Rattus norvegicus: one gene and its partners. The protein of the gene in region 5 interacts with the protein of the main gene of each other region in a biochemical or structural test. Links are inferred from orthologs where the notes say so. Each region holds a gene or a part of one and is shown on either strand. Other genes may lie near its edges. The genes, in order: Dcun1d4, Cops5, Cdc34, Dcun1d3, Cul2, Ube2d1 and Dcun1d5.

What was found.
Region 1: of the proteins of Cul2 (region 5) and Dcun1d4, one has a biochemical effect on the other in vitro, tested with the Homo sapiens proteins (2 studies listed by BioGRID, with this or other methods). The link is inferred for Rattus norvegicus from reciprocal best matches to the Homo sapiens genes CUL2 and DCUN1D4.
Region 2: of the proteins of Cul2 (region 5) and Cops5, one has a biochemical effect on the other in vitro, tested with the Homo sapiens proteins (3 studies listed by BioGRID). The link is inferred for Rattus norvegicus from reciprocal best matches to the Homo sapiens genes CUL2 and COPS5.
Region 3: the proteins of Cul2 (region 5) and Cdc34 form a complex in vitro, tested with the Homo sapiens proteins (2 studies listed by BioGRID). The link is inferred for Rattus norvegicus from reciprocal best matches to the Homo sapiens genes CUL2 and CDC34.
Region 4: of the proteins of Cul2 (region 5) and Dcun1d3, one has a biochemical effect on the other in vitro, tested with the Homo sapiens proteins (2 studies listed by BioGRID, with this or other methods). The link is inferred for Rattus norvegicus from reciprocal best matches to the Homo sapiens genes CUL2 and DCUN1D3.
Region 6: the proteins of Cul2 (region 5) and Ube2d1 form a complex in vitro, tested with the Homo sapiens proteins (2 studies listed by BioGRID). The link is inferred for Rattus norvegicus from reciprocal best matches to the Homo sapiens genes CUL2 and UBE2D1.
Region 7: of the proteins of Cul2 (region 5) and Dcun1d5, one has a biochemical effect on the other in vitro, tested with the Homo sapiens proteins (2 studies listed by BioGRID, with this or other methods). The link is inferred for Rattus norvegicus from reciprocal best matches to the Homo sapiens genes CUL2 and DCUN1D5.

The regions. Positions count from the first base shown.
Region 1 is NC_086032.1:35,074,370-35,078,479, forward strand, and holds the start of Dcun1d4 (DCN1-like protein 4), read right to left. Parts: upstream 2,921-4,110; 5' UTR 2,835-2,920; coding exon 2,810-2,834; intron 1,967-2,809; exon of another isoform or gene 922-1,966; intron 1-921. UniProt on the Homo sapiens protein: Contributes to the neddylation of all cullins by transferring NEDD8 from N-terminally acetylated NEDD8-conjugating E2s enzyme to different cullin C-terminal domain-RBX complexes which are necessary for the activation of cullin-RING E3 ubiquitin ligases (CRLs).
Region 2 is NC_086023.1:13,978,277-13,981,900, reverse strand, and holds part of Cops5 (COP9 signalosome complex subunit 5), read right to left. Parts: coding exon 3,511-3,624; intron 2,569-3,510; coding exon 2,440-2,568; intron 1,966-2,439; coding exon 1,900-1,965; intron 1,126-1,899; coding exon 1,040-1,125; intron 1-1,039. UniProt on the Homo sapiens protein: Probable protease subunit of the COP9 signalosome complex (CSN), a complex involved in various cellular and developmental processes.
Region 3 is NC_086025.1:10,670,694-10,674,925, forward strand, and holds the start of Cdc34 (ubiquitin-conjugating enzyme E2 R1), read right to left. Parts: upstream 2,915-4,232; 5' UTR 2,897-2,914; coding exon 2,720-2,896; intron 520-2,719; coding exon 433-519; intron 333-432; coding exon 235-332; intron 107-234; coding exon 1-106. UniProt on the Homo sapiens protein: E2 ubiquitin-conjugating enzyme that accepts ubiquitin from an E1 ubiquitin-activating protein, and catalyzes its covalent attachment to other proteins by an E3 ubiquitin-protein ligase complex. In vitro catalyzes 'Lys-48'-linked polyubiquitination.
Region 4 is NC_086019.1:183,678,969-183,682,592, forward strand, and holds part of Dcun1d3 (DCN1-like protein 3), read right to left. Parts: intron 2,586-3,624; 5' UTR 2,480-2,585; coding exon 2,049-2,479; intron 309-2,048; coding exon 1-308. UniProt on the Homo sapiens protein: Contributes to the neddylation of all cullins by transferring NEDD8 from N-terminally acetylated NEDD8-conjugating E2s enzyme to different cullin C-terminal domain-RBX complexes and may play a role in the cell cycle progression by regulating the SCF ubiquitin E3 ligase complex, after UV damage.
Region 5 is NC_086035.1:58,867,100-58,870,723, reverse strand, and holds part of Cul2 (cullin-2), read left to right. Parts: intron 1-1,150; coding exon 1,151-1,217; intron 1,218-2,581; coding exon 2,582-2,784; intron 2,785-3,161; coding exon 3,162-3,263; intron 3,264-3,624.
Region 6 is NC_086038.1:17,307,024-17,311,366, forward strand, and holds the start of Ube2d1 (ubiquitin-conjugating enzyme E2 D1), read left to right. Parts: upstream 1-1,435; 5' UTR 1,436-1,532; coding exon 1,533-1,556; intron 1,557-2,856; exon of another isoform or gene 2,857-2,960; coding exon of another isoform or gene 2,961-2,963; intron 2,964-4,343.
Region 7 is NC_086026.1:12,695,968-12,700,034, forward strand, and holds the start of Dcun1d5 (DCN1-like protein 5), read left to right. Parts: upstream 1-1,192; 5' UTR 1,193-1,432; coding exon 1,433-1,518; intron 1,519-3,108; coding exon 3,109-3,200; intron 3,201-4,067. UniProt on the Homo sapiens protein: Contributes to the neddylation of all cullins by transferring NEDD8 from N-terminally acetylated NEDD8-conjugating E2s enzyme to different cullin C-terminal domain-RBX complexes which is necessary for the activation of cullin-RING E3 ubiquitin ligases (CRLs).

The DNA of each region.
Region 1 (4,110 bases), on a different chromosome or scaffold from region 5:
TACTTTTTTGAAAAATGTCTGTAATATATACAAGACGGTTCTTAGAGATTTTACTGCAGATGTAAGTCAAAACAGGATAGATATAAATTATTTCTCTAAAACACCATATTCTAACGAGTTTCTTATTTCAAAAGCCATCCTGTAAGGTCTAGAGAGACTGCCCAACACCTAAGAGGATCTGAGTTTCATTCCCCGCACTCAGTTGAGCAGCTCACGACCACCTATAACTCCAGTTCTATGGGATCCCAAGCCTTCATCTGATCTCTATGGCATCTATATGCACGTGCACATACCCACACATATATACACTTAAAAATAGTAAAAATAAGTTTTAAAGAATTGTCTGCTACATATACAAGTTCAATACTGTCTTAATTGTGTCAGGTCGTTTCCAGATCTTAAAACTCATCAAGAAATGTATATAAGAAATACTCAAGTTAATAAAAAATAATAATAATAAAAAAATTAAAAAAAAAAACTCATCAAGATGTTTACAATTGGGGGCTGGGGATTTAGCTCAGTGGTAGAAGCGCTTACCTAGGAAGCGCAAGGCCCTGGGTTCGATCCCCAGCTCCGGGAAAAAAAAAAAAAAACAAAAAACAAAACAAAAAAAAAAAAAAGATGTTTACAATTGGGTTATTAAAACACCCCTCCAATGACCATTCCAATTACTGATGGTTCATAGAATTCGATACACCACACACCAAAAAAAAAAAAAAAAAAAAATCTTAAAGCCCCCACTTTGGGAGTGATCACTAAGGAGAACTGGCAAAGGATGTGGCTGGTGGCTGGAAGTCCACAAACTCAGGAAGACATGTAATGGTCAAGAGAGAAGGACAGCTTGGCATCCAAAGGGCAAACAGCAGCCCCGTTTGCTTTACTTACATAAAAGTTAAGACATCACAGTTCCCCTTTGCTCACCTTTAGGGTTTCATTTCAGGTTCTGGCATGAGACTACTTCAACCTCAAATTCCACTAAGCTGCCATTCTTGATTTGCTTCCAAAAACAAAAAACAAAACCCTAATTCTTGGGCAAACCAAGTTGCCCAAGAAATATCAGTGCAGTTGTCTGTATTTTCTTCACAAGGGATGTATTTGTCTCTACTTAGTTTCCATACTTATGTAAGGATGTATATACTTCACCCTAGACTTCCATACACTGAATACACTCTAAATATTCCATGATAAACATTGCTTTAAAACGAATGTATGCAAGATGTTTCAAAACTAAGCATTCGTTCCGCAAGGCTACCAGATGCAGGGGAAAATTAACTCGGAGAAAGGCCAGGGCTTGGCCTGGGCTCGCCCTCTGCGGTGCCCAAGGAATCCAGGAATCTCCCGGAGAGAACGCATTGGGTCTCCGCGGCATAAAGCACGAGTTAGTCAAGCAAGGAGGTTCCAAGGGACGCGCTGCATTCTGGGACTCGTTTCCACAGTTACCCACGTGCACCCAATCCAACCGCGGCCCGGGCAGCTGAGACTACAAGTCCCAGAATTCCATGAGCCTGCCTTTCCCTTTACACCGGTTCCAGGAGCCAGACCCTAAAGGAAACCCCTAAAGGACCCTCCCGGTGCTTCGGGCGGAGGTAGCTTCTCGCACGCGCGTTGCTATGCCTCCAAAGCGGCCCTCCATACAGGTTAACAGGTCCTGACGCATCAGTCTCTACACCTGATAGTCAGAAATTAGGGAACTGCGTCACACACTGCCAAACCTACGGACCGCCGGGGACCCTGACACCTCTTACGCTAATTCCTCCACCCCGCCTCTAGGACCCCTGCAGGTCCGGTCAGCAAGCAGACAGCGGCCTCCGGGTCCTGTAATCCCAGCCCGCGTTGACCTCACTCCCGGTTGCTCGCTAAAAGTGGCAGCCACTGCCAGCCTCGGGACACCTCCCGAGTACCCGGCCCCGCCCCCTCTCCTCTGTGCACCCCGATGCTCAGGGTGGTCCCCTCCTAGGCTGGACCGGGCCTCTCCCGGGAGGAAGCACCTCCCCCAATGCACAGTTCAACGCTCCCCACCCCGCCCCAAGAGCACCGAACCCGAGGATGACAGCCCTCCCCATCCCGCTCCTCCCCACCTACTCTTCTTCCTAACTCACTCTGCACACCCTCCCCGACCCCTATCTCAGCCCACAAACTGCATCGCAGTCCTACCCACCATCCACTCCTCCAGGGACCCCCATCCCAACACCTGCCCCCAAGCCCTCTCGCCACTCCCGGCCGCCGTCCCGCACACCAGACTCCACAACTCTCCCATCCCACTGCAGTGTCTCCCACTCCGTGTCCGGGTTACATCAGCCCCCAACCCCTCACCCGCCCGGTCGCTGCCCCTGCTCCCCACCCATTGTTCCCGCCCCCGCCCCCAGCCCTCCTTCCTATTGTCCCCGCCCCCGCTCCTCTCGCACTCCCCCGCCTTCCCCGGTAGACTGCACAGCTCCGGCACCGCAAGCCTCACCCGGTACTCAGACCGTAGGGTCTCTCCCTGCCCGCTCGTACCACCCCTGACCCCATCTGCCAGCGCCCGCCGCGGTCTCCACCTCCGTGCACCACCGACTCCCGGCCCCCGGCCTTCAGAATATGTCCCCCCTCCCCCCACCGCGGAAAGCCAGCCAGTCCCCACCCCCTCCCCGCCGCCCCTGCCCCCGCCCCAGCCGCCCGCAGCGTCACGGCCCTCGGACTCCAGGAGGGGAACAGCTCGTTCCCGGGCCAGGGACTCCAGCGCGGTAGGAACCGGAGAAGTGGAGAAGGGAGCACGGGAGCGGACCGGGTGTGCGGGCCCGCGCCGGCCCGCTGGCTCTGTGCTACTCACTGACAGCTGCAGCATCCGAGTGCATTTTCGGGCAGCTCACACCCGCCTGCCGCCCGGGCTCCCGCGCTCCACTCGCGGTCCCCCTACCGACTCCCCAAACCTTAGCTCTCAACAGAGGACCGGCGGCTCCTACTCCGACCCGCCCATCCCGCCTTTCTCATTGGCTAGACCACCACCGAGGGACCGCCCCTCTTCGGCTCTCATTTGACCGAAGGAGTGCAGGTTGCGCCGCCTGCAGCAGGCAAAAGGACCCCGCCCCCTAGACTGCAACGTGATTGGCCCCGGCTCCTCACCTCGGACCGCCCCTGGTAGAGGCCACTATTCGGAGCCGCAGGTTGGACCCAACGGCTGTCAGTCATTCAAGGGTCCGAAAGCGCGTGGAGGGGCGAGACAGGGGACTTGGTCTATCTTGACCCTGAAGCCCCGCCCTGTGGCGGGCGGGTCCTGGAGCGGGAGACCAACAGAGAGACCAACGGAGAACCTAGGTTAAGCATCCGAAACAAAGCGGGCGGAGGGACCCGGAGCCAAGCTGGGGGCCACAGGGACCGGTGCTCCCTGGTAGGCGGTCGGCCAGATCCTGATCCTGCCCGTGCCCCGGTCGCGCCAGTTCTCATCAATCGTTTCCCATCGCGGGAAATTAGGAAAAAAAAAAAAAAAGCCTCCGCTTTCCTCCCTTTTATGCCACAACCTTTCTGTCCCCAACTTTGGAAATGCGCCTCCTTTTTTTAGAGTCAATTATTCAGAGTTGTGCATTGCTTGCGCCAAAGGTTTCGAATGCGCAGGCATTGTCCGTCCGACACTTCTATGCTCCCCAGACAGCGAGAGAAAAACCCAGTGCCACATTAGGCTCTGGGGTCAGTCAGCCTGTCACCAGGACAAGCTAGGTCCCCTGACTATACGTCTAAGAAACATAAGTTGAACCTGGCCAAACCGCTGTTTAACAGAGGAAAGCGTTAATAGGGTTGTGATTGTTAAGTGTCTTGAATCAAAATACTGCTTTTGTTGTTGTTTCTTTACGTTTTTCAGTACTTGAAAACCAATTCTCCTCAATCACTATGGTAATGCAATAACGCAAAGAGATGCTGGAGGACGGGCGCCCCGCCCCCACCGCGAACACACTCTCCACTTGGGAACCTCCAACAGCCCTTGCCCCAAGCACAGCCTGGACTGCCTATAGATTCTGCCACAGACATTGGATGATACGTCCAAAAATAACAAAGGGGTCCGGTCCAGCGTTAGTATTCTGAATTCTACCGCCTTGGCTCTTGAGTTGCAGAGTTCCGAAATCTGGACGGATGTTT
Region 2 (3,624 bases), on a different chromosome or scaffold from region 5:
GATAGGAACAACACAGCTGGGCCAAAGCTTCCCGGTGAGAGGCGAGCAGGGACCAGGTCACAGAGTTGTGCAGTTGGGTAAGGCTTATGGCTCTCACTCTTGGCAAGATGGAACATTACTTTGAGGGAAGGACATGCTCTGCACACATGCTAACGGGACCAGTCTGGCTGGTCCACCTTTAGGGTGAGGGCAGATATAGGAAGAGTGGCTGTGTACGGAGCGCTACGCTGGAGCTTCAGATGCAGTAGCTTGGGTGAATGTGCAGGAGGGAAGGTGGTGAGATACATTTACAAAGCCTGTTAAAAGAGCTAAGACAGCTAAAACGGGCATTTGAAAAAATGACATTTATTTATTGTGTGTGTATGGGTGGGTCCCATGTGCATGAACGTGGAAACCAGAGAGCAACTGGCAGGAATTATTCTCTTTCTGTTGTATGGCCGTGGGGACTGAACGTGGGGACTGAACTTAGTTGCTGATGCTCCAGCAGAGCAATCAGTTAGGTTAGTGCATGGCACTTATACAACAGTACACTTAGGCCGTCGGCCTCGGCATCAAAGACCTTCAGTCACTGTGCCATCTTCCCATTCCAAACTGTGTACTTTAAGGGCAGCAAACTTGCTATTGTCAAGCTGTGCCTGGGAATGTGTTTCAACTGCTAATCTTACTATGGACTGAGTATCTTGTGCAATGAAATGATCTAGATTAAAAGAATTATTGAGGAAAACCATAAGTAGAAAGAGAATAATTATTAGTTTAAACACTTTTATCATTATCCTAAATTCATATTCTTTTTCTACTATTTCAAAGGTATTACATATTATGAAATACATTTTGTCTGAGTCAGGTGTGAAGTAAGTCTTTGACTGAATGAATTCTGAGTTTTGGTGCTGGGCTTTGAACCCTGGGCCTTGGGAATGGCAGGCGAGCAAGTCTGCTGAAGTGGAAGGTTGAGCTGCATCACTGACAGATCCACCACTTCCACTTCAGCCTGCTGCTGTGCCACGTCTGTAGCCCTGACAACAGTCCAACTGCTACTCACTGTTTGCAGTGCACGCCAAAATCTTCTATTTTATTGAGTGGGATAGTCTGGTACTCTGAAGGTCCTTCATCAGGAGGCTTATAGCCCTAAATAAAAGCAAGGAAAACAAAAAATGAAAATGACAAAAAGCAAAGCTTTCTCTGCAGCTTCTTACGTATGGGACCAAACTGAGGAGCGCCAAACAGTAAGCACCAATACTGGGATAACAGCTGGGCCTGGTGCTTACACGCTACTTTCAGTCCTAGGGAGGCAGACACAAAAGGACTGCTGGCGCTGTGTACTTTCTAGTACTTGTCAAATTGCCACGGGTGCACCAATGTTTCTTGGTAATAAACCCTATGTCTGGCAAGATTACTAAATAACAAATGTGTTATTGCTTGATATGAGCTGTAGCAGTTTGCAACTTTGTATTTGAAAATCCTTCTACACTAAAAAAGATATCACAAAGGTTGCATATATAGCTCAGGGGTAGAGTACTTGTCTAGGTACTGTTGGCACTGGAGAAAAAAAGCTTGTGTATAAATGTCAGAAGCTAAACTTGGATTCCAGAACCCACACAACACAGGCCTGGTTAGTGCACATCTGCACTTCCAGCTGTCTGTGGTCAGACGGGAAGTAGAGATAGGATGTACAAGAGCCAGCTAGCCTGTACACAGTGAAAAGTAAAGATCCAGTCTCAAACAAGGTAGAAGGAGAGGACTGACTCCCCAGGGTCTCTTCTGACCTGCAGACCCATGCCTGTACTCACAAACACATCACCCCAGATGACATCCGTAATCCCAATACTTAAGACGTGAGTAAAGTCAAGGCTAATCTCAACTACAGGAGATTCCCCCTATACAGCCCTCCATCCAAATCACCTTTGGATATGTCCTAAAGGCGCCAAGATTCACCTTCCCTGCAGATATTGTTCTGGTTGGGTCAATCTACAAGAGACGGATGGGCAATATAAGCCAAATGCTCCACTGAGTCAACATCGGAAACCGAAAAAAACAAACATAGCACTGTAGGCATGCACACTGCACTAGCGAACAACCTGAAAACAACTGAGATCATTAGAGAAGTTCAGTGAACTAGGAATACTTCAACTAAATTTAATGACTGATTAAACTTCTGCTTCTCCAATTCAGTCAACCCCGATTAAATGCCTATGGGCTAGAGCGTGAGGTACAGCAAGGTTAAGACTCCCTAGGTAGAATAACACCAGAGTTTCATTTTTACCACACTGTTTTCCAGGATGGTAAAACTTAGCAAGTCTTCTTGAAGAACTTCATAAAAGCATCTCTGTAAAAACCATGCATAAATATGCAAGTCTGAGACTTTAGCATTGTATGGAAGAGGAAGGTCTGTAAACTGGTCAGCCAGCCTAGCCACAACAATGAGCCCCAGGTAGTACTTACCACCACTGCTACAAATGGTTCCTGAAACTGCTGGTTAAGCATCTGTGTACTAACATCAATTCCGGAGAGCCAGCAGCCATAACCAGGGTGGCTGTGATACCAACCAATTGCATTCTCAAGGCGGCCAACCTAACACGTCAGAGAAAAAGCTTGCTTGAGGTATGGTTTAGTCTCAGAGATGCTGCCATTTACAAGTTTCACATAGCACTGTGGTTCAATGACAGCGTGCAACATATGCTGCTTTGACGTTAAGGAACTTCTGACCAGACAATACATTCACGTAGTGTAAAACTATCAACGTGCAAGAACAAGGGCATCTAGTTTCTTCTCTATCTTTCCCCTCATCATGAGTTTCTCAGCTCAGAAACTCTGTAGACCAACACACATATCTGCACATAGCTACATACCACATACTTTTTTTTTTTTATTGAAGAAACAATTCTAGAGCTTGTCCACCTAAGTAAAGAGATACTTTTTTTTTTTTTTAAAGCCCACATAGTTCATTATAGTCCATTAATAGATATACCCTACTCAGGAATAGTTTATTCCTAAATTTGTTGTTCTTGGTTTTTTTGAGGGGCACAGGAGATATTGAACTCAGGGCTTATGAATGCCGAGCATGAACTCTACCACCAACTTACATCTCCAGCCTACATTTATTTTAAAAGATTTATTTTTCAATGTATATAAGTATAGTGTCATTGTCCTCAGACACACAAGAAGTGGGCATCAGATCCTATTACAGATGGCTGTGAGCCACCATGTGGTTGCTGGGAATTGAACTCAGGATCTCTGGAAGAGCAGTCAGTGCTCATAACCATTCAACCATCTTCCCAGCCCCATTTTTTTTTTTTTAATTTTAAACACAATTGACAGTGAAAATGAAAATGTATCTTGGAAAGACCCACCTCTCCCAATCTAATACTATAAATCTCACAAGAACTTTAAAATTTCACATAAAAACCAGTTCAATTTAAAATGTAGAATTTATTGTGAAAAGAACAGTTTTAAGTTCAGAAACTCAGAAGTTGAGACTCAGGATTTTTTAAATTTAAGAAACACTATTTTTACCTGTTTGGCATTTTCTATGTATGCAGCCATGTACTCGTATGCAGCAGCCTGGGCATTTACTCGGGTTTCAGTGCCCTCTACAGGCAAAGCAAAGCTGTCCATGATGATCATGGT
Region 3 (4,232 bases), on a different chromosome or scaffold from region 5:
CCCCTTGCTCTCCTTCCATTTTCTGTACATCACCGAGGCGTCCACGTTGGCAGGCGAGAAGGTGTTGGGCTCATTCAGCAGGGAGATCACACTCAGGAGGATGGTCCTGTAGGGCCGTAGGTGCAAGCTCAGCTCCCCAGACTCTGGGAACCCCTGACTGGAGCAGGGAAGGGTGGATCTTAGGGTACAGGGTGTTTGCGGGTGCCCACGGTGCAGTTCCATGGCAATTCTCACCTGACATTCTGCGTGGGGTTCCACCGCTCTGAGGGTAGCTCCCCACTCTGTGGGTCATCAACTGGGGGATGGAGGATGGAGATGCATACGTCCCCTGTCTGCAAGAGTGACCAGGGTTAGAGGAGGGGTGGGGCATGTGCAAGGGAGGCAGAGAAGTGTGTGGTGGAGTGTGCCTGAAGCAGGCCTCTAGTGTCTTACCTCATAGATGTTTGGGTGCCACATCTTGGTGAGGAACCGGAAGGCTGGTGGGGAATATGGGTAGTCGATGGGGAACTTGAGGCGAGCCTACAGATGGCAGAAAATGGGGTGGCTCAATGGCAGGCCCCCGAGCACTGCTGGAGTCAGGGGCTGTGCCCACCTGCCGCTGGTGTACAGGCCCTGAAGCCAACTCCAGTCTTTGTACACCAGTATACACACAGCACACCTCTGTGACTTGACATCCAGGTTAGGAAAGGCAAGGCGGTTAGGAAAGGTGTGGGCTAGCTAGAGGAGTGAGTCAGCAGGTCTGCCTGGCCTCAGGCCTCCCACCAACACCACCCAAGCTCAGGGGCCCAGGCCAAGAGTAGTCACCAGACAAGCTGGAACCATCTGCCTGGTCACAGCAACTGCTTGTGGCTGAAGCTCACCCTGCCCACTGCCCCGACCTTGGACAGATAGAGAAGGCCTGAGATTTGCCCTAGTCTTGGAGCTCCCCAAGGACAGCTTCCAGTGTTCTGCCTGGCGCACACAAACCTAGTGTGGAGTTGCCACCCCGATCCTCTCAGGAGAGCAGATGGGGAAGGTGGCATTGCTGGAACAACACCCCACACTTCTGGGGCTCCAGATGCTTCTAAGAATGAGCAGACTGAGGCTCAGAACAGGAAGGGTTCTCTCAAGTGAGACAGGCTGGGCTGTCCAGAGAAGCTCCTCACAGCTCCCCTCCTACAGAGACTCCCCACGTCTCAGTCACTCACACCATATAGGAAGCTCCTACATTGGCGGATTTGAGTGACATCATGCAGGGCCTCCTCCTAAGCTACCTCAAGAACAATGTGAGCCTAGGAGGCTCTACCCACAATCCTTTACGGGCAAGGAAGAGTTCAGGTGACCCTGCTCTGAGCACCCCCCCCCCCCCCCCCGCAAACACAGGAGACAAGGTGCTAACAGCATCTGCATGTCCTGAAGGCGGCTCAGTTCAGACCACCTCCAGGTGGGAAGCGAGGGTGTCCACATGTGTCTCCCTCCCGTTCTCCACATGCTGTACCTGGAAACCCTAACTCAAACATTCCCCTGCATAAGGAGACTTGTGACTTTCCTAAGCACTGACCAAGAAGGGTGAGGACATCAGCCACAAAGGAAGACGCAGAACAAATAAGTGCCACGGCCCTACATCTGGGGCCCCAGACTGGCTGGGGTTTGCGTGCACCTTTGGCCCTAACATAAGATCCTGTGATTCTGCTAGTTCTAGTCCATGGCAGGCAGGATGATTCAACTGTGCTGACATGGGTACCTATACCTGGCCAAACATACTCAGTGTTGGGGGCTGCCTAAGCCTCCCTGCTCCCAACCACAAAAACATCTGGTGCATTGAGCCTGAAGCCACCAGAGGGCAGACGACACCCCTTAGAAGGAAAAATCAGGCCCCTAAGACTCCACCTGTTCAGTGGAACCTGAGAAAGGCTGTCAGGGTGGGGCAAACAGAGAGCTCTAGGGTCCAGGGCCCTTGGCAGGAACCCAAGGTGTGGCTCCAAGATTCAGGGTGGGCCCCCACCACCCCCTTGAATGCATTACGTGAAGCCTGGCCAGTGCTAAAGGTGGCTGTTGTCCAACAGGCACGGCTGCCAAGGCCCTGCCAGGGCCTCTACTGGAACTGGAGCAGGTGGCTGTCCAGGCTACACGTCTCTTCCCTGGGGACACATCGGCCAGTGGCTGCTCTGGTTGTGTTCCAGGGTAGGGGACAGGCCTGGGGATGTCAGCCAGCAGCTGCCCGTGGTCCTTTATGTCTTGAGATATGGACAAACTAAGGTGAACCTTTTCAGGTTTCACCACATGCTGGTGGGGTGAGGGACAACCTGGGAACATGCTTGCCAGCAGAGGGCTCCAGATGCTTCTGCGTCTTGTGGTGGGGAGAACTACACCGGAACAAGAAGGCCAGCAACTGTCCCTGGGGAGACCCTTCACCAGAAGCATGTTGGAAGAGTGGGGACAACACGGGGAGATACATCCCCAGGTACATGCTTAGTCCAGTGCACGACAGCCTGGGAACACACTGACCAGCAGCAGGCTCTAGAGGCCCCTACGTCTTGTAGTGGGGGTCTGCCTGGGGGTGCGGCATACATTAGCTGTCTCTGGTCATGTAGCCTGCTGGAGAACAGTATAGGGAGACCAGTCCCCGGGGTGAGGTCAGCACGTGCCCAACAAAAAAGGGAGGGGCCGCTTTGCACGAGGGGCCTGAGCCAGCCTGGGAGAGAGGCAGGCACAAAGAGGAAACTGAGGCTCGGCTCACCTTGAAGTAGCCGCCCTCATAGTAGGTGTTGGGGGGTCCGAAGATGGCCACCTCCCAGTTGTACAGGTCGCCCTCGTCCACCAGCGTCACCCGGAAGCCCTCCACCGGCTCCTCCTGCAGCCCCTTCAGCTCCAGCAGCAGCGCCTTCTGCGAGCTGGGCACCAGCGGCCGGGCCATGGCGGTGACGGCGGCGGCGGCGGAGGGGCCCGGGGCCGGGGCCGGGCCGGGCCGCGGGACCGGCGCGAGCTCGCGGGACGGACCGGGTCGCGCGCCGGCAGGGGGAGAGCCGCCGCCTTCCTCCTCTGCGCCGCCGCCGCCGCCACCACCCGGGGACCCCGAAGGCTCCACTCGCTCTGGCGCCGCTGCCCGCCCGGCGCTCGCTTCGGCCCGGCCCGGCCCGCGCCTAACGCGCCTGCGCGCCGCAGCCGCCGGGCCTCGAATGCGCCTGCGCACCGGCTCCCGGCCCCGAATGCGCCTGCGTGCCTCCTTCGGACCCCGAATGCGCCTGCGTGCCACACCCGGGCCCCGAATGCGGCTGCGCGCCGCTGCTGCCGGGCCGGAAATGCACCTGCGCGCCACTGCCGGGTCTAGAATGCGCCTGTGCGACGCCTCCACCGGGTCCGGAATGTGTCTGCGCGCCCGCCCGCGGGGCACGCCGGGAAGTGTAGTCTTCTTCCCCCGCCCTGCCGCGCAGGCGCCTTGCGTTTCCGAAGCCCCGGAGGCCGCCGTCGCCTCCGGCCGGAAGAGCTCCGCGGATGCCTGTGTGCGGAGTGGCGGGCAGGGCTGGGCTGCGCGCTGCGGAGTGGCAGCTGCGGCTTTGGGGGCCTTTTCTGTGACGTCAAGGGGGCGTGGTTGTGGGTGGGGAGTTGGGCGTGGCTTGTGCGGGAGCGGAGCAGGATCCGCCCTAGTTTCCCATCATGAAGCTATGGATGTCCCTATATTGTCTCTATGGGCTCAGGTAGAAGGAGGGCCCACAGAATCGACGATTTGGGGTTTGCAGACCTGGCTTCCAGCGGGTGGAGTGCTAACCTCTACCCTGGGAGGACTCTCATGTCAGGCTGTCCTTTGACCACACCCTAGTCCTGCTTAAGCAGTGGTGAGGCATCCTGGAAAGTTACAGGAGCGGGAACAGACACGCAAAGTCCCCGAGGTTGACCGGCATAGACACCCACACTCCTTTCTTGGACATTTGGTCATGAGTATTGAGGTGGCAGCATATTCAAGCCTTGCAGACAGGTGTGTGGTGTACCCGTGACCTCTAGGGGTGGGTGGTTCTGGCCCTAGGCTGTGTTGTTCACACAGCTGGACTGTGGGTGTCCTGAAGGACTACAGCTGCATCAATAACTGGGGCTGGGAAAAGGCAGCTCCCCCGCCCCGTAACCCCCCACAGGTGTGCCAACATCCTGTCCTGGCTGGGGATATCAGGCAGACCTGTTTGGGGATAGGGAAACAGTGTCAAAGGTGGGGCTGGTTGATGTGACCAGGAAGAGCCAAGGATCCAATGCCACTTGCC
Region 4 (3,624 bases), on a different chromosome or scaffold from region 5:
GAAACATGTTCCAAGTGTCCCGGGAGATGCCCTTGATTCCCGAAGGGTTCTCTGTTAGGAAATTTAGCCACTGGTCCAATACTGGAGGATTGTTCTGTGTAAATACTAATTTCCACAGGGCAATGGCTATTTCACGATGCAGTGACCGCTGCCCTTCTTCAGAGTCCAGGCCAAACTGAAATGTAAACCGGTAGAGATCCTTGAATTTATCTTCTTGTTTGGCTTCTGTTAAGAGGCTAGGGAAACGTGCACAGATCCCATCAATGCTGTCTGCACTTATTGCTTTACAGCCGTCAAAAAACTCCTTCCTGCAACAGGTAGGAGAAGGCATGATTAATAAGTAAGAGTGGTGCAGTGTATGAGGAGGCAAGGATATACGCGCAGCTAACACCCAGCCCAGCCCCAGCTCTCGGAAGGCAAAAACAGTACCTCTTCTAGGCCAGCCTGGTCTACTAAGGCCAGCTAAGGCTGTGCAGTCGCAGTCAGACCTGGCCTCCAAAGTAGATGGGTGGGTGGATAGATCGAGCCGAGTTTAGTTCCCACAACGTACATGGCAACTTCAAATCCAGTTCCAGGGGATATAACACACCTTTCTGGCCTCTGAAGATACCAGGCATGCACCTCAGAGATATGCAATGAGGCAAGACCCTCATACATATAAAATAAAATGGAAAACAACAAATGTGCCTTTGGGGGCATGGCAAGAAGGCTCAGCAGGTAAATGTACTTGCCACCAAGAATGATAACCTGATTTTGATCCCAAGAACCTACATGGTAAAGAAAACCAACTCCCTCAAGTTATCCCTGGTCCCTTCACATTTAAAGCATGGCACATGTGCACATGCATGTACACATACATAGGGCCGAAACTATGTAGTTAAAATTTCTTTTAACTACTTTTGTTTTTGTTTTATGAGATAGGATCTCACTATGTAACCCATACTAGCCTTGAATTCTCTTCCTTGTGCCTCAGCTTCCTGGGGGCTGGGATTACAGACAGGTACCACCACACCCAGCTGCATATGTACTTTTTAACTGTATACAGCACTAACAGGGTTTCACACTGATTATCTCAGGGACTGTAGTGGTGAGGCATTCAATTTATTGAAAAGGTCATATAAATTAGCTGTGTTTTAAAGTTCCTTCTGACAGGTCAGGTATGGTGGCTCACACCTTTAATCCGAGCCCTCAAGAAGCAGGCAGAACCTGGAGTTTGAGGCCTGCTTGCTCTACATATCCAGTTTCAGGCCACTATAGTTCTTCTTCATAACCCTGCACTCTTTAAACCATGGTCTGCCATGACCCTGCCATATCCTTGTATACAAACAACCCCAATATGGATATATAACTGTGACAAATTGTACAACTGCTACTTGATATTTGGGGCCAGCTGTCCTTGCTGCACACAGGCCTGGCTTAAAGGAACAAGCTGAGAACTCCAAAAGCAGTAGAGGTATATTCCCAGTGACAGTCTATGGACACCTAAGTGCCTGGCAGACTACAGATAAATGACTAAACTGACATGTGAAGGAATAAAAGACAAGTTCTGAGCAGCTAGTTGTCAGGAGGGCTGAGCAGCAGTTAACAGAAGTGTTCACACTGCTTAGTCCTTATTTAATTTTAGGTAGAGGGTCGGTGCCCAGTAACTTGGATTGCCTCTTGGTGCTTTTGTGAATTCAAATGTGATCTATCAATCAGGCAACACTTTATTCTGTGAGGAAAACACAGAACAGCACATATTAGACAAGGAAGCTTTGCAGAGATACAAATCCCTGAGTCTTACCTACCTGGAGAGATATACTCAGTAGTTCTGCTACGAGTTTTGGACACAGGATAGAAAAATTAATTCCTTAGGAGAATCTAGGAAGTTCTCTGGACTAGAACTACAACTCGATACTTAAGCTTAGAGAAAATGGCCAGGAAGGGGATGGGGACCACTTGCCCCAAACCTGTGAAGCCATTCCAATTCTGTCCTAGTGGGCACCACTACCCAATGTCATGTTTTCCTCCTCTGGTCCCTTCCTGACATGAAAGCATCTGTAACCAACCTGGTGAATTTGCACATGGTAGCAGCCTGGAACTTCCAGGCCAAGAGCAGCACTCGAAACTCCGTAGGATCAACACATAGGTCATTGCAAAAGCGCTCCATGCCTTCCTCCAAAATTGCATCCTCCCGCTCATCCTTATAGCGCCTGAACAGTTCTTCCAACCTCTGCAAGGAAGACTCCTCAGCATTGGTCTTGGACTCCCTCCCTGCATCTCCAGAAGAAGTTGGCAGCTGGCAGGCCTCGGTGGCAGCCTCTGCTTTCTTGGTCCCATTGACAAGAATATCCCCAGCTGGTTTGCCACAAGGTGGCACCTGTTCCTCACGGTGGCTAGCCCCCCGCCTGCTGTGTGACTTGCTGCTGGGGTCCCGGTCTCCATTCTTGCTGCCCAAGGTTGATGAAGGATTCTTGCATTTGGTGACACACTGGCCCATGGTGATTGTAGCCTGGCCTTCTAGAGTGGCCCACTCTGGATCAGATCCCTTCGCTGCCACTGGTCCATGTACTTCAACATGCCATCAGTTAGAGGAGCCAGCCAACCTGGAAGGAAATTACAAAGTAGTTACCTTTCTGGGCAGAGGAGTGGTGTACAGACACTAAATCCCAGAACTGCCCACCAGTGACCACTCTATTTCACTGAGCTAACAATGAGCCAAGGGAGAGAACCCCACCCCAGCTCACTGTTTGTTACCTTTCCTGTAAGCTCTGTGGGATGCTTACCCTTGGATATGGGGGGGGGGGGGGGTAACAGAGAACCAGCATGGGAAATTCCTAAAATCCTTAAGGCAGCATAAGTTTTAAAAGGCTGATTCATTTGCAGAACACATCAAAGACTACAGTTCTAACAGAATATTCCAGAGGAAATCTGTCTTGTCAAGTTTTGCCTTCACATAAGAGTTATCTGGACCTGAGTTAAGCCACAAGTTCATCATCTGGTTCTATACCTAATACCTACAAACTCAGATTTCAACAAAGATTGCTACAGTCTTTTCCTCTCAGCACAACACAAGCAACACCTTGGAGGATAAATTACCTTGGCCTGGTAGCCATGGCAACTAATTGAGCAGAACAATACAGAGGTAGCTAAATCTATGATAATGGTAATGGATGGAGCTGGTGACACTCCTTAGTAGGAATCAAGGAGAGTTAAAGGAGCCACACCTCACCACAACCATTCTTCCTCCCTCCCTGCCCTCTTGCAGATGCTATAGTACATAAGGAAAATTAACTGAAAGCAGGATTTCATGATGAAGCTTCCATCAAGTCCCCAGCAATAAGGTGCTGTAGCTATTTTAGGGTTACTTGTGCTCCTGAAAGTACCCTGCACTCTGTAAGGATGATTTGTCAAATTGGATTCTGGTAGAATAGAGATAAGAGACCATACCCAAGCCACCTGTAATCTCATAATGGTCTAATGGTGAAGTAAGAAATGTCAAAACTACAAGCAGGGGCCTAGCCAAACAGCAAAGTGCAACGTGCCTGTGTCTCTGGATTCACACAAGTGTACTGTCATAGCTCCACCCTATTCTACTCACCTACAGGAGCCTGTACTCCAGGTACTTTCCCAACCTAGGTGTGT
Region 5 (3,624 bases):
TATGGTTGCTGGGGACTGAATCTCAGAAGTCAGATGAGATTGTGGGATCCCCCGGATCTGGGGTTGTGAGCAATTTCCTGTGGGTTCTGGGAGCCGGAAAGTCATTTGCTGCTGGAGTGCGCTTCGTTAGCCACTGACTCTTCAGACTTAAACGTCAGCAAAAGGCAGTAGACAGAGACAGCTTGAACAGCTTCGTTCCTATGACTGCTGTATCATAGACCCCACTCTGTATTAACCACACACATACATGGGCCAGCCTGTCTTTTATTTGTTGAAACGTACGAGATGGTATATTTAGTCTTTAAACAATATATTAAAGTATAGTTGATATATTAACACAGATTAATATTGCTATATATTATTAATATATATTAATATTGATATTATTTCTGATTTTATAAAATTAGCACGTGTTGGTTTGGGAAATCTCGACAAGCTGTAAGAGTCGGGATAGGACTGAGGCTCGGGCTGAGGTAGGGTGAGGTGACTGCAGCTCAAACAAGAGGACTGTGAGGACCTGAGTTTAGATTCCAGCTCCCATGCTGTGCACAGAGAACAAGGACACTGGGGGATTCCTGGCTGGCGAGTGCAGCCCAGAGAGCAAGCTCTAGATTCAGCGAAGCCTGTCTGAAAGTGATATGGAAAATACTTGAGGTAGACACGCCCATGTTAACTTTACCTCTTACATACATACAAAAACTGGGATAAATAACACACTGACACGTCATAGCAGCTTAAATTGTAGAAGAGAAATGTTTCAGGGCCGAGTCTGCCCTGCGTGGGCATTCGGTTGCCTGAGTTACTCTGCCTGCCCCTTTTAGTGCTGTTTCTCAGCATAGCCTCAGACTCCCGGGTTAAGTGAGCTTGTGTCAGCTTTGCACGTCTCTGGGACTGGGTGCACACCACAACGCTTGGGTAGCGCACTCTGTGTGCAAGAACCACGCAGCAAGTTGCTGCAGCCTCAGCAGAGGCACCACAGTGATGGCAGCATACCCACATAGCCATGGGCTCGTCACGGTTTGCAGCGGGCGTTCTGGACAAGGTTTATCATTGGGTGGGTTATGATACCTTTGCCTTTATAGTATCGTGATAAAGAAGTTCCAGGGCCTTGACTTGACATCTAGCTTGACATCTCTCTCTCTCTCAACAGTTTGAATTGTTTTATAGCCAGCATTTCAGTGGAAGGAAACTGACATGGTTACATTATCTCTGTACAGGTAAAAACAATTACTTACTACTCATTTAATGATCTTTATTTATGTGATTCTGTTCCTTTAGAGTGTTAATTCCTGTGTTCTAATTCTAGTTTTTAATCTGCTTTCCTCTGCCTCCTTCTCTGGTATCATTAAGGAACTATCTAATGCTGCTGATGTTCATTGTAAGACATTCTTTGAGTTTTATAATGACAGTACATTTTTGCAGCCAGTCATTTTATAGATAGTAGAGCGTTTGTCTAGAAAAGCAGACTGATGGGTAAGATATTTTTGAGTATCTGTTCTCCAGAGTTTCCTTAGCCCTGTCACCGACTTCTATTTCAAATACTCTAAGAATGTCTTTCTTCTCGGTTCCCTGGAGATGGTCAGCCAAAGCAAAGGGCTATTCTTCTTAGGCTTCAGGAAGGGCTGTGGATCAGCACCCACGGGCCAGCTCACAGCCAGCTGTAACTCCACTTCCACGGGATCTGAAACCCTTCAGGCCACCACAGGAACCAGGCACCCTTGTCCTGCAGATATATATGCAAGCAAAACACCCCCACGCATAAAATTATAAACAACAAAAAAGAAATGATGTAAGGAAGTCTGTCCTGGTTCTTTGACCTTTATTAGGAGCCCTGCTTTTGCCTTTAAAAGGTTGATCTCAGAACCAGCACCATTTGCTTTTGTGTTACTAGCTTGCATCTTAGATTATGGCTTATTATTGTGCAAGCTTATTGAATAAATTGAGTCTTCTGATTTTCTTCCTAATGTGAAATATGTTGATCTTTATGTTTTCATCTTTAATTTCAAGTGTGTGCGCGAGTGTGTGTGTGTGTGTGTTTGTGAGTGTGTGTGTGTGTGTGTGTGTGTGTGTGGTGTTTCTGGCATGAAAACTAGGACTTGGTTCTCTTCTTCCACAATGTGGTTACCAGGGTTGAACTTAAACTATCTTATAAGACACAAAGTTAGAGAGGTAGTTCCCAGCTGTCTCTTCTGTTTCTTCCACTCAGTTCTGTTTCTGCTGCCTCTCCTTCCAACCAGTTCTGCTTCCGTTTTCCTGTTGGTAGTCATCTAAAGTCACTGCTTAAGCTCTGCTTCCGTTTTCCTGTTGGTAGTCATCTAAATAAGTTCTGCTTCCGTTTTCCTGTTGGTAGTCATCTAAAGTCACTGCTTAAGTTCTGACAAAAGCTGCAGTAGATCAACTGTTGCTATAATACATACTCACGACTTCAGCATTGACAGCCCATTGCTCTCTAGTCAAGAGCTTTGGATTACCTTTGCATTAACCTTCAGATGCCTGTTTTTTGTTTTTTCTTTTTTTAAGGAAAACAATCAGAATGTCAAATGGATGATCACTGTACTGTCAATTTTTGTTTTAATTGTAGGTGAAGTTAAAATGAACTATTTGGGGAAACCATATGTAGCTATGGTTACAACCTACCAAATGGCAGTTCTTCTTGCCTTTAACAACAGTGAAACTGTCAGCTACAAAGAGCTTCAAGACAGCACCCAGATGAATGAAAAGGAGCTAACTAAAACAATCAAATCATTACTTGATGTGAAAATGATTAACCATGATTCAGAAAAGGTAACCTTCCCAAGGACTTCAGCCCTTAGCAGATAGAGGATCTTGTGTGGGATATTGGTAGTTTTAAGGTTGTATGATATTCAGATGACTCTGTGAGTTAGCTTAGCGACTTTCCTAGGAGAAAAGGCCTTGACTTTTCCAACAATAAACAAAATGCTATTGGGGGTTAACTGGATCCATCAGAGCCTTGGAAGCAACAGTTATTTCTTCCAGGGTCAACTCTGGAAGTTGTAGTTAGTATTGTGGTTACTGCAGCAGTGTCAGGCAGAAGATAATGTGTATAATGTCTGGGCCTTAAAATAGCTACTTCCTACATAGAAACTGAGTAACATTATGGTAAATGTGAAATCAGAAAAAAAAATTTGTTTTAAATATAGGAAGATATCGATGCAGAATCTTCATTTTCACTAAATATGAGCTTCAGCAGTAAGAGAACAAAATTTAAGATTACTACATCAATGCAGAAGGATACACCACAAGTAAGTACTGGCTTGAATGTCATCTCTCCTAGAAATATCTAGGCGCAGTGCATTGAGTGAGTCTACTTTATACCAAGATGTTGTGCACTGAGTGCTAACCACTGCACCTTGCTACAGCTCCATCTGAAAGCATCTTGGCCCAGAGGCTCACTCTTAAAATACTGTCCTGTGCAACTTAAGTCCTTTTTACTGCTTAGCTGTATTGCATTATAGCTTAGTATAAACTCCAGCGTGACCGATCGTTGTCCTCACAAATCTATAACCACTGGAGGTGTTAGAGGATGGTTGTGGTATTGGCATAGCCCTAATACATGTTTTATTGTTGCTGCTTTTCCTTTGTGCCGAGCAGTGTATATGTTTG
Region 6 (4,343 bases), on a different chromosome or scaffold from region 5:
AAGATGAATTGCATGTTAACGCCACTCTTCTTTTGAGGGGAGATAAAACAATAACGACAACAACAATGGGTGGGAAGACACGGCCTATAAAGTGCTGATCAGCAAGCATGAGGACCCTAGTTCCATCCCCAGTGCCCATGAACAAATGTACGGATGATGAGGCTTGTGTGTAAAATCAACGCCGAGCAGGTAAAGACAGCAGATTCCTCGCCAGGCCAGCCCAATGGGTGAGGCTCAGGTCCCTGTGCGTGACCCTGTCTCAAAAAACAAGGTGTACAGCTCCTGGGAAATAATTTCACAAACACACACACACACACACACACACACACACACACACACACACACACACAGGGGGTGGGGGTAGTGGCTTGGTTCTGAGTAAGAAAAACAGCGCCCGGAAGAACGCTGCTAAGTAGAGGCAAGACTGCAAAGGGCCCCTGCCACAGCTGATGGGGACCTGGGAACAGGAAAGTGGACCGATGTGCAGACAGAGCAGGACTGCTTGAGTGGACCTCTGCAAAGCACAGTCCCTCAGACCTTTCTGGGCTGCAACTCATCTCTAGTTTGTGCAGAGGGCGTGGCGTCGTTCTTCTGTGGACCACTGCAAAGCAGGAGAAGAGAACTTCCCAGATGTGGCTGATTTAGCTGCAGGGACACTGTAGAAGCCGGGGCAGTGAGTGTTTTGAGAAGCAAAACGGGACTCAAAACCATTTCGGATAAGGAATGGATTGACTTTAGTCATCAGAAACCTAAGACTGACCAAAGCCGTCGGAAATCTGAGACTGAGCAAAGCGAAAACTCATCCTGCAGGTGCCAAGCCAAGAAGACATGGTTGAAAGGACAAGCAAAATCTGAGATCACAGGAATTGAGAAGGGACTGAAGGACGCCTCAGTGGGCAAAATGCTTGCTGCACAAGCCTGAGGACCCGAGTTCGGATGCCGGAGACCTCGTAAGGGTCGGTTGTGTGGGAAGCTGTCTGCAATTCCATTTTTGGGAGATGAAGACAAAAAGACATAAAGGGAAAACCCTGCCTCAAAAAAATAAGGTGGGGTGCAATTGACGAAGACTCCTCACGCTCCCGGGGGCGAGCGGAGAAGAAACAGAAATATCTAAAAAGGAAGTTAAGATCTGCTGCAGGGTCTGTGCGAGGAGGAGCGACCCGTGATTCACAGCAGCTCCTAAGAGCCGACAGCTCACCTGCTGTCCCGGTTTTTGCAGATTCTGGCCCTTATTCTGCAGAGCGGCTGCAGGGAGTAAGCAGCAGCCTGGTCGCAGCTGTCACCCACGGGTGACCAGACGACGTCCGCGCGGGCGGCAGAGGCCGAGCCTGGAACTACACTTCCCAGTGTGCCAGGCGGGCGGGGCGCGGCGGGGAGGGCGCAGGCTCCTTCCCAGCAAGCGAAGGCGGAAACAAAAGAGCCCGGCGCCGCCGCCCGCACACTCGCGCACCGCGCCCGGGCGCACACGGAGCAGCCCCGCGAGGCGGCAGCCCGGGACACGCGGACCTGCCGCAGCCCCCGCCGCCTGCCCCATGGCGCTGAAGCGGATCCAGAAAGTGAGTGGCTGCTAGGACCGGCCTGGGTGTCCCCGAGAGGTCCCCAGGAGCTCGGGGTGCACGGCGTGGGAGGGGCGCGGGCACTAGGGAGGCCGGGGTGCGGATCGGCCCGCACAGGTGAGGCGTGCATGCGCAGGGTCCGGGTGCTTGGAACCCGGGGCAACCCGATCCGGTCGTGTCCTTTCCAGGCTGAGCCTAGAACCCCGGGTGCGGGTGCCGGTGCGGTGGCCAGATTGCCCCGGGGTGTGTGCATCCCCGCTGGGCAGGGGCTTGCTCTGCAGCGGGCGGCCTGCGTGCCCTATCACGCCGTGCGTCCTTACCAGGTCCCCGGAGCCCTCCTTCCTGTGTTCGCACCCCGGGCTCCCCGGGAGGACAGGGAAGGTGTGGTGGGCCTACGGCCTTTATTCTCAGAGAGTGGGGCTGGGTCTTTCTGGGCTTTGCAGTCGGATGGTGCTCAGTGGGAGGAAAGGGTTGGGGAAGCGGGATTGGGGCGGAGGAGCCAGCAGAAAGCTCTTGCCCCTGCTATTTTGGTGGTTCTGCACGCAGCTGCCACTTCAGGTCACATAGCTGCACCGAGTACATAGTTGCTGATACACAGCAAGATGACCTCCTGGCTGTGATTCAAGGCGAGGCAAGCCAAGCTGGTTGTTGGTTTTGTTTGTTGCTTTTTTTTTTTTTTTTTTTAAAACATCCTCATGATAAACTTAGATGTAGAGTTGAAGACACAACACTAAGGACCACAAATTAAACTGTTTGGATGCTTTGATGCATGACTAGAGAATGAGGAAGACAATCGAAGGGTCAACACCTAGCATCTGTCCCAACCCTCTCTTTGTATTCTTTACCGCACCCATTTCTCTTGTTGGCCTGTCCCCTGACTCAAGTGTCTTTTAACATTTTACAGCCGGCAGCCCTTGCTGCTGGGAACCGGGTGTTTGGGAACGCTTTGGAAGCAAATGGAAGCAGTGGATAATGTGTTTGGTAATTGATTTCACAAGAAATGGATGGCTCCCCAAACGTTTTTATCAACCTTTCCAGCTACACTTGACTGCAAATGTTCTGAGTTAGAGTTAGAGTGGTAGTCGGCAGGCATCTTTCGGTACAGAGGACAGCAACTTTTACACGCAGCCAGATTTTGGGGTTCTTTTTTTGGTTCGAACATCAGCTGTGTAGATCGTCGCTGTTCTTTGTACCGCTGAAGGTCAACTTGGTATAAAATGTAAGATCAGCGTTTATTAAATAATGACGTTTTCTCGTTGGAAGATAACGTGGCTGCACTTTATTTTTAACCGTATAAACAAGCCTAAATTTGAAGCCGCAGCCGTCATTGCCTTGCTGACTTCTGATCGCCGATGTTCTGTTGGTTTCCCCTTTGGAAGTTTTCAAACTTTGCTTCTTTTCGTGATGGTGAGGCATTCTATGTGGCTTTGTTCTCTCTCTCTCTCTCTCTCTCTCTCTCTCTCTCTCTCTCTCTCATGCGCACACACAATAGCTCTTAGATGTCATAGGTATTATCTATAGAATATATCCATTCAGAGAAAGAATGTATTACTGGATGTGTAGTCTTGGTATGTCTTATTGGTCATGCTAAGCTTGACTTATGTATTTGACTTAGTATGGAAAACGTCCACACCTTCTTTCTTTTTCCTTTTTTCCTTTCTTTTTTTTCTTTTTCTTTTTCTTTTTTCTTTTTTCTTTTTTCTTTCTTTTTTTTTTTTAAGATTTTGGGTGTTAAACAGAATTGTCTAGTATGACGATAACCTTAAATACAACTGATGGCAAATCTGTGACAAACTGGTATTGTGGAGAAGACATGGGAGGTCACATGATTCTATGTTCCCCGCATTGACTGCCACGAATCATCAGTCATACATGCCAGCCACCGCGTTCGCCCCCAACGGATTCTACCGTCCTCTGCCATTCTCGCCTGTCATCTTGCTTAGAACTAAGTCCAGGTCAAATAGGCCACCCATGAGCTGCATCAATGCCCTCTGGTATCCTGTGTTCCCATTCTCATTTGAATCTTGTTCAGTCCAACAAATGGAGTTCAATGCGAACCTTTGGCCTTAAAAAAATTTTTGTTTTTAGTGTGTGTATGTGTGAGTACATGCCACATGTGTGGGGGTGGCCACAGAGGCTAGAAGAGGTAAGAGACAGCATCAGGTATTCTGATGCCAGAGCCATAGGTGGTTGTGAGCTGTCTGACGTGGGTGCTGGGAATTGAACTTGGGTCATCTGAAGGAGTAGTTCTTCACTGCTGAGCCATCTCCCAAGCCTCTAACCGCCCTCCTCCTCCTCTTCCTCCTCCTCTTCTTTTTCTTTTTCTTCTTCTTCTTCTTCTTCTTCTTCTTCTTCTTCTTCTTCTTCTTCTTCTTCTTCTTCTTCTTCTTCTTCTTTTTCTTCTTCAATATCTTTTAAAGCAATGACGTGATAACTTCACCATTTCTTTACCTAAAAGTATCAGCCCTTGACGTTCATGGAATCCCAGCTTGGCGGTGGGGTAGCAAAGAATACAGGGAGAGAGACAGTCCCCAGGGCAGGGAGCAAAGTCACTGTAGAGCCCAGGGCTGCCAGTGGAAAGATGCTGGACCTGGAAGCTGAGGTGGGGTTAACATGGAAAGGTCAAAAGCCCTGATGTTCTCCTGTGTTCTCTTCGTCCAAAGACAGAAGCAGGGGCTGGAGTTGAGACGAGTTTTGCTCAGGCTTAATCTCTTGAGACAGGATTTGGCACGTTTGAGAATAATGTTCGCAGCTTCTCATTTCTCCACCTATGAAAAGAACAAAGCT
Region 7 (4,067 bases), on a different chromosome or scaffold from region 5:
GTAAAAGAAAATTAAACTACATTAAAAAAAAAACTGCAGCACTGTCATAGGTTCTCATTATATAGCTTGGTGAAAATCAAGAACTATCACGAGCAACAGAAAAAAGTAAATCACATAACTAGGTGCTTCTGTATACAGACATAATGTCCCTTCCCAAGCCTAACAACCTGAATTCCACCTCAAGAGTCACAAGATAGAGAAAAATGAACTGTCAAGTTGTCATCCCAGCACTGGTACACAATTGCCCCAATAATAAATACATATTTAAAAAAAAATCTTCATCTTTCAGTTGTCTACTTTCTTCTATAGGGAGTTCTGTTTTAGAGCTTAGATCTTGTAATTTTCATATAAAAACAATGCTTTGTGCAGTGTTTATAATAGGGTTGAATGGAGTATAGGTTTGAAAATTATTTTCATTGGTAAAATATATTAACTATATGTCCAGAACTCATTACAACAACCGTTTTTTCTCTTTCTCCTTAACTCTGACTAGATTAGGGTCCTACTATGGTAGCACAGTTGGCTTACAGACATGAACTTCATTCACTAAGAATCTTCTAGGAGATAACTAGACATACCATACCCTTCTTTTTTTTTTTTTTTTTTTTTCTTTTTTTTTTTCTTTTCTTTTTTTCGGAGCTGGGGACCGAACCATACCCTTCTTATAAACAATATTTCCATTAGAAGTAACATGATTCCTGTTTCTTGAGAGCGGTCCATTAGAATGGTTTCCCAAACCCTTTGTATAAGTTAGTCAGTTTTCCAGTCTCTTATCCACGAGGAGAGTTCCTCAGAAGTAAAACATGGAGGCGTTGCCTCAGCACAGGAGGAAGCCATAAACTGACACTGAGCATGAGGGAGAAAAGGACAAGGAGCGTGAGACACTGATCTCAGGCCCACCAAGAACACCCAAAGGGCTGGAGACGCTGTAGGTCAGGAGTGGGCACATTCACGCGTGGCTCCTCACCAGATTACTTCGCTCGCCAGCTGTGGAGCGTTCATGATTTTTATAAAGGACTTCCCTCTGGAAACTCGCCCGAAAAACTCGGGAGACTGAGGCTCCACCTGCAGAGACGCAAATCCTAAAGGCCCATAGGTAGGGAGACCACTCCGGCTCGGCAAGCTTCCTTGCTGCGTCACTTCCGGTCCTGAGCCATCCGCTTCCGGGTCAGGCTGAGCCGCCTGCTCTTCGCGACTACTGAAGGTGCCGCGCTGTCGGCGTTCGCTTCCCCTGGAAAAGCCCGAGCCGCGTTATCGCCGGGCTTAGCGCTGCGCTGCCCCGAATCGCCCCTAAAGAGGAAACCCGAGGCGAGGTCGCGCCTCGGTCCTCCGCTGCGGTCCCTGGCAGGCGGGAGCCGGCGCTGCGGGGCCTGCGGCGGAGCGCGATACCCCTCCCCGGCCGCCCTGTCCACCTTGCCGGGGAAGGCGGAAGATGCCAGTGAAGAAGAAGAGAAAAGCTCCCGGAGTGGCAGCGGCGGTCGCGGAAGACGCGGGCCTCAAAAAGTGTAAAATCTCCAGGTACCGCCTGCCCCCACCCCGCAAGCTCTCTCCTTTCCCCGTTGCGGGACAGGCCGCCAGCCGCTAGCCTAGACGAGAGAGGCGAGCCCTCTCGGGCGAGGCGGTCGGTGAGGCGCCCAGAGTCTCCGCTCCGCGCGGGACCGAACCTCGTGTTCGCCTGTGCGTGAGCTCTGGCGTACTTGGACAAGCTCTGAGATTCACCCCACTTTGTTGTCTGCGTGCCCAGAGGGTAGGAAACAGACGACCATACGTATGCCTTCTCCATCCAATTTCCCAACCGAGAAGTGAGTGCGGATCTGCCAAGATTCATCGCGTCCCTGTGTCTCACAAGCAGAATTGGCTTGGCCCACACATTGTTAAATATCAGGGTGTGAAGAAAGGAGCAGAGCTTGAAGAGTTTGACAGCTGCCTTGGGAATGGTGGAAAGGAAGCCTATGCTATAATTGGTCTCCTGAGTTAGTATTAGAAGTGGCCTAACGTGGATGATCCCAGCAGGAGACCTTTTAAATAGCTGGAGGCTCAGCTTCTAGAGGCACCATGCCTCCACCTGTACCAGTTCCCTACACAGAGTTGGAAAAGGCCCTTGTGGTTTTTGTTTTGTAGCATTAAGTAGATAGTAGCTCTCAGTCCCCTTTTAGGTGTTTGCAAGCTATTGTGTTCTGTGTTCTCTTAGAGGAAAAGAAAACAAAGCAAAACTGAAGTTAAAGCCATTCACTCCCTTTATGGCATACATTCAATCATCACAGAATCATTATTGCTCTGAAAGTTATTGCGATTTAACTTTGAGAAGTGTGCTTCTTCCCATACTCTATGGGTTGTTTTGTATTAATGGTTGACACATAAAGTGACAAAATACTACCATTAAAACAAGACAGCCAGCACTACACAAAGAAGATTTCTCTTTAAGGAGAGATGCAGTGAGGAATGCACTGCTTAAAATATGAAAGAAGTGACTGGTTTCATCCTAATCTTTTTGTAATCAATTGCTTTGTGCCCCCCTCTCCCGCCCTTAGTGTGTTTTAGCAAAAGAGTCTAGGTGATATTTCTTGGGTGATGTATAAGATTCAGTTTTCATTATGCCCTTTGGTGGTTAACATTTCTCTTGACCTTAGCTCTTGGAAAACTATATCTAAGATGTTTAACTTAAACCAGTTAAAACAGCTAGCTGGGCAGTATCCAGTGATTCAGCCTAAATTTTAACAGAGATCTTCATACAAATCAGTGGCAAAATGGAAGTAAGTCTTCAGGCATTCGATAAGGTCTATAGCTTAGTGGTAGAGAGCAAGCCCAACATGAGTAGTTTAGGGAGAGAGGTTTATACTTTCTTGTCTAGTCTTGGGTTGAGACTTAGACTGCACTTCTTTATTATCTTGAAATCTAAGGAAATCATTTTAGGCACTATTTTTGGAATCTGGTAGCAAACAAAGTAGCATTTGGATTTCATTGAGTGCAGGTCCTTATTGCTAATCCTTTCCCCATAATGCTGACTTATAAACCACTATTTTGTTTACATGGAAGCTATTCTTGTTGAAGCTACTTTTGTACTAAAGTTGAGTCTTATTAAGCCTTAGACATTTACGTGTTTCTAAGCTATTGCAGATCCCAGCCTCCTGCTAGACTCATCAGTGGAGAGGAAGATTTTTCAAGAAAGAAGTGCCTGGCTTGGTTTTATGAGTATGCAGGTAATGAAATTCATTTAACAGGATACCATATCATTTGCATTTAGAAGCTGTGGTTTATTCCTTGTTCCTGACCTGTTATGTTTACTGGGATTAGGGTCAAGGCTAAAGGGTTAGGGATTGGCTCAGAATTTAGTGCCATGAACATATCTGACAACTTTTCTTCCTTAGAACAGGTCTAGTCTTAATACTAAAGCTAATCTCTTACCTGCTTTCCTACTTTTATGTTTTTGTTTTTCTTTTATCATTATTATTCTCAGAAGTATTTGCTTAAAGCTAAAACACATAGTAGTCGTTGCCTTGTTATTATACTAACCATGTTACTCTTTTAAGTGATGGCATCCTAACTTGTCAAGTTAAGCTAACTGTATGCAAGGCTAGACTAGTTTGAAAAGGGGGTAGCAACTTTGCTATTGGGAACACCAGTGATCCCAATTGTACAATTTAAAAATGGTTTGGTAGCAGAATAGATTCTTTCTAGATCAGGGGAAATAAATGCTATTACTGGTATCCCAAGACAACCACTAACCCAAATTAAATATAGAGAAATTTTTTTTTTTGGCTGACCTCTATTTAAAACGTTGACCCATTATTAAAAATGCATTATATAGAATCAGAAAGTTTCATCTTATTTCACTTTATAAAGGTTACTAGACACCATAAAGATGGTCATTATGCATGTATATATATATATATTTTTTTTTTTCCTTGAATGCTTGATTCTATTAGCTCCTATTAGGACTTCCTTGAGTATTTTAAGATGGAATTAAATATTTATTTTTAACTCTTGACATTTTGAACAGTCAACGTGATAATTGCTATAGTGCTCCATGAGTTATGATAAGTATATCATTTTCCTTGTAACCATCT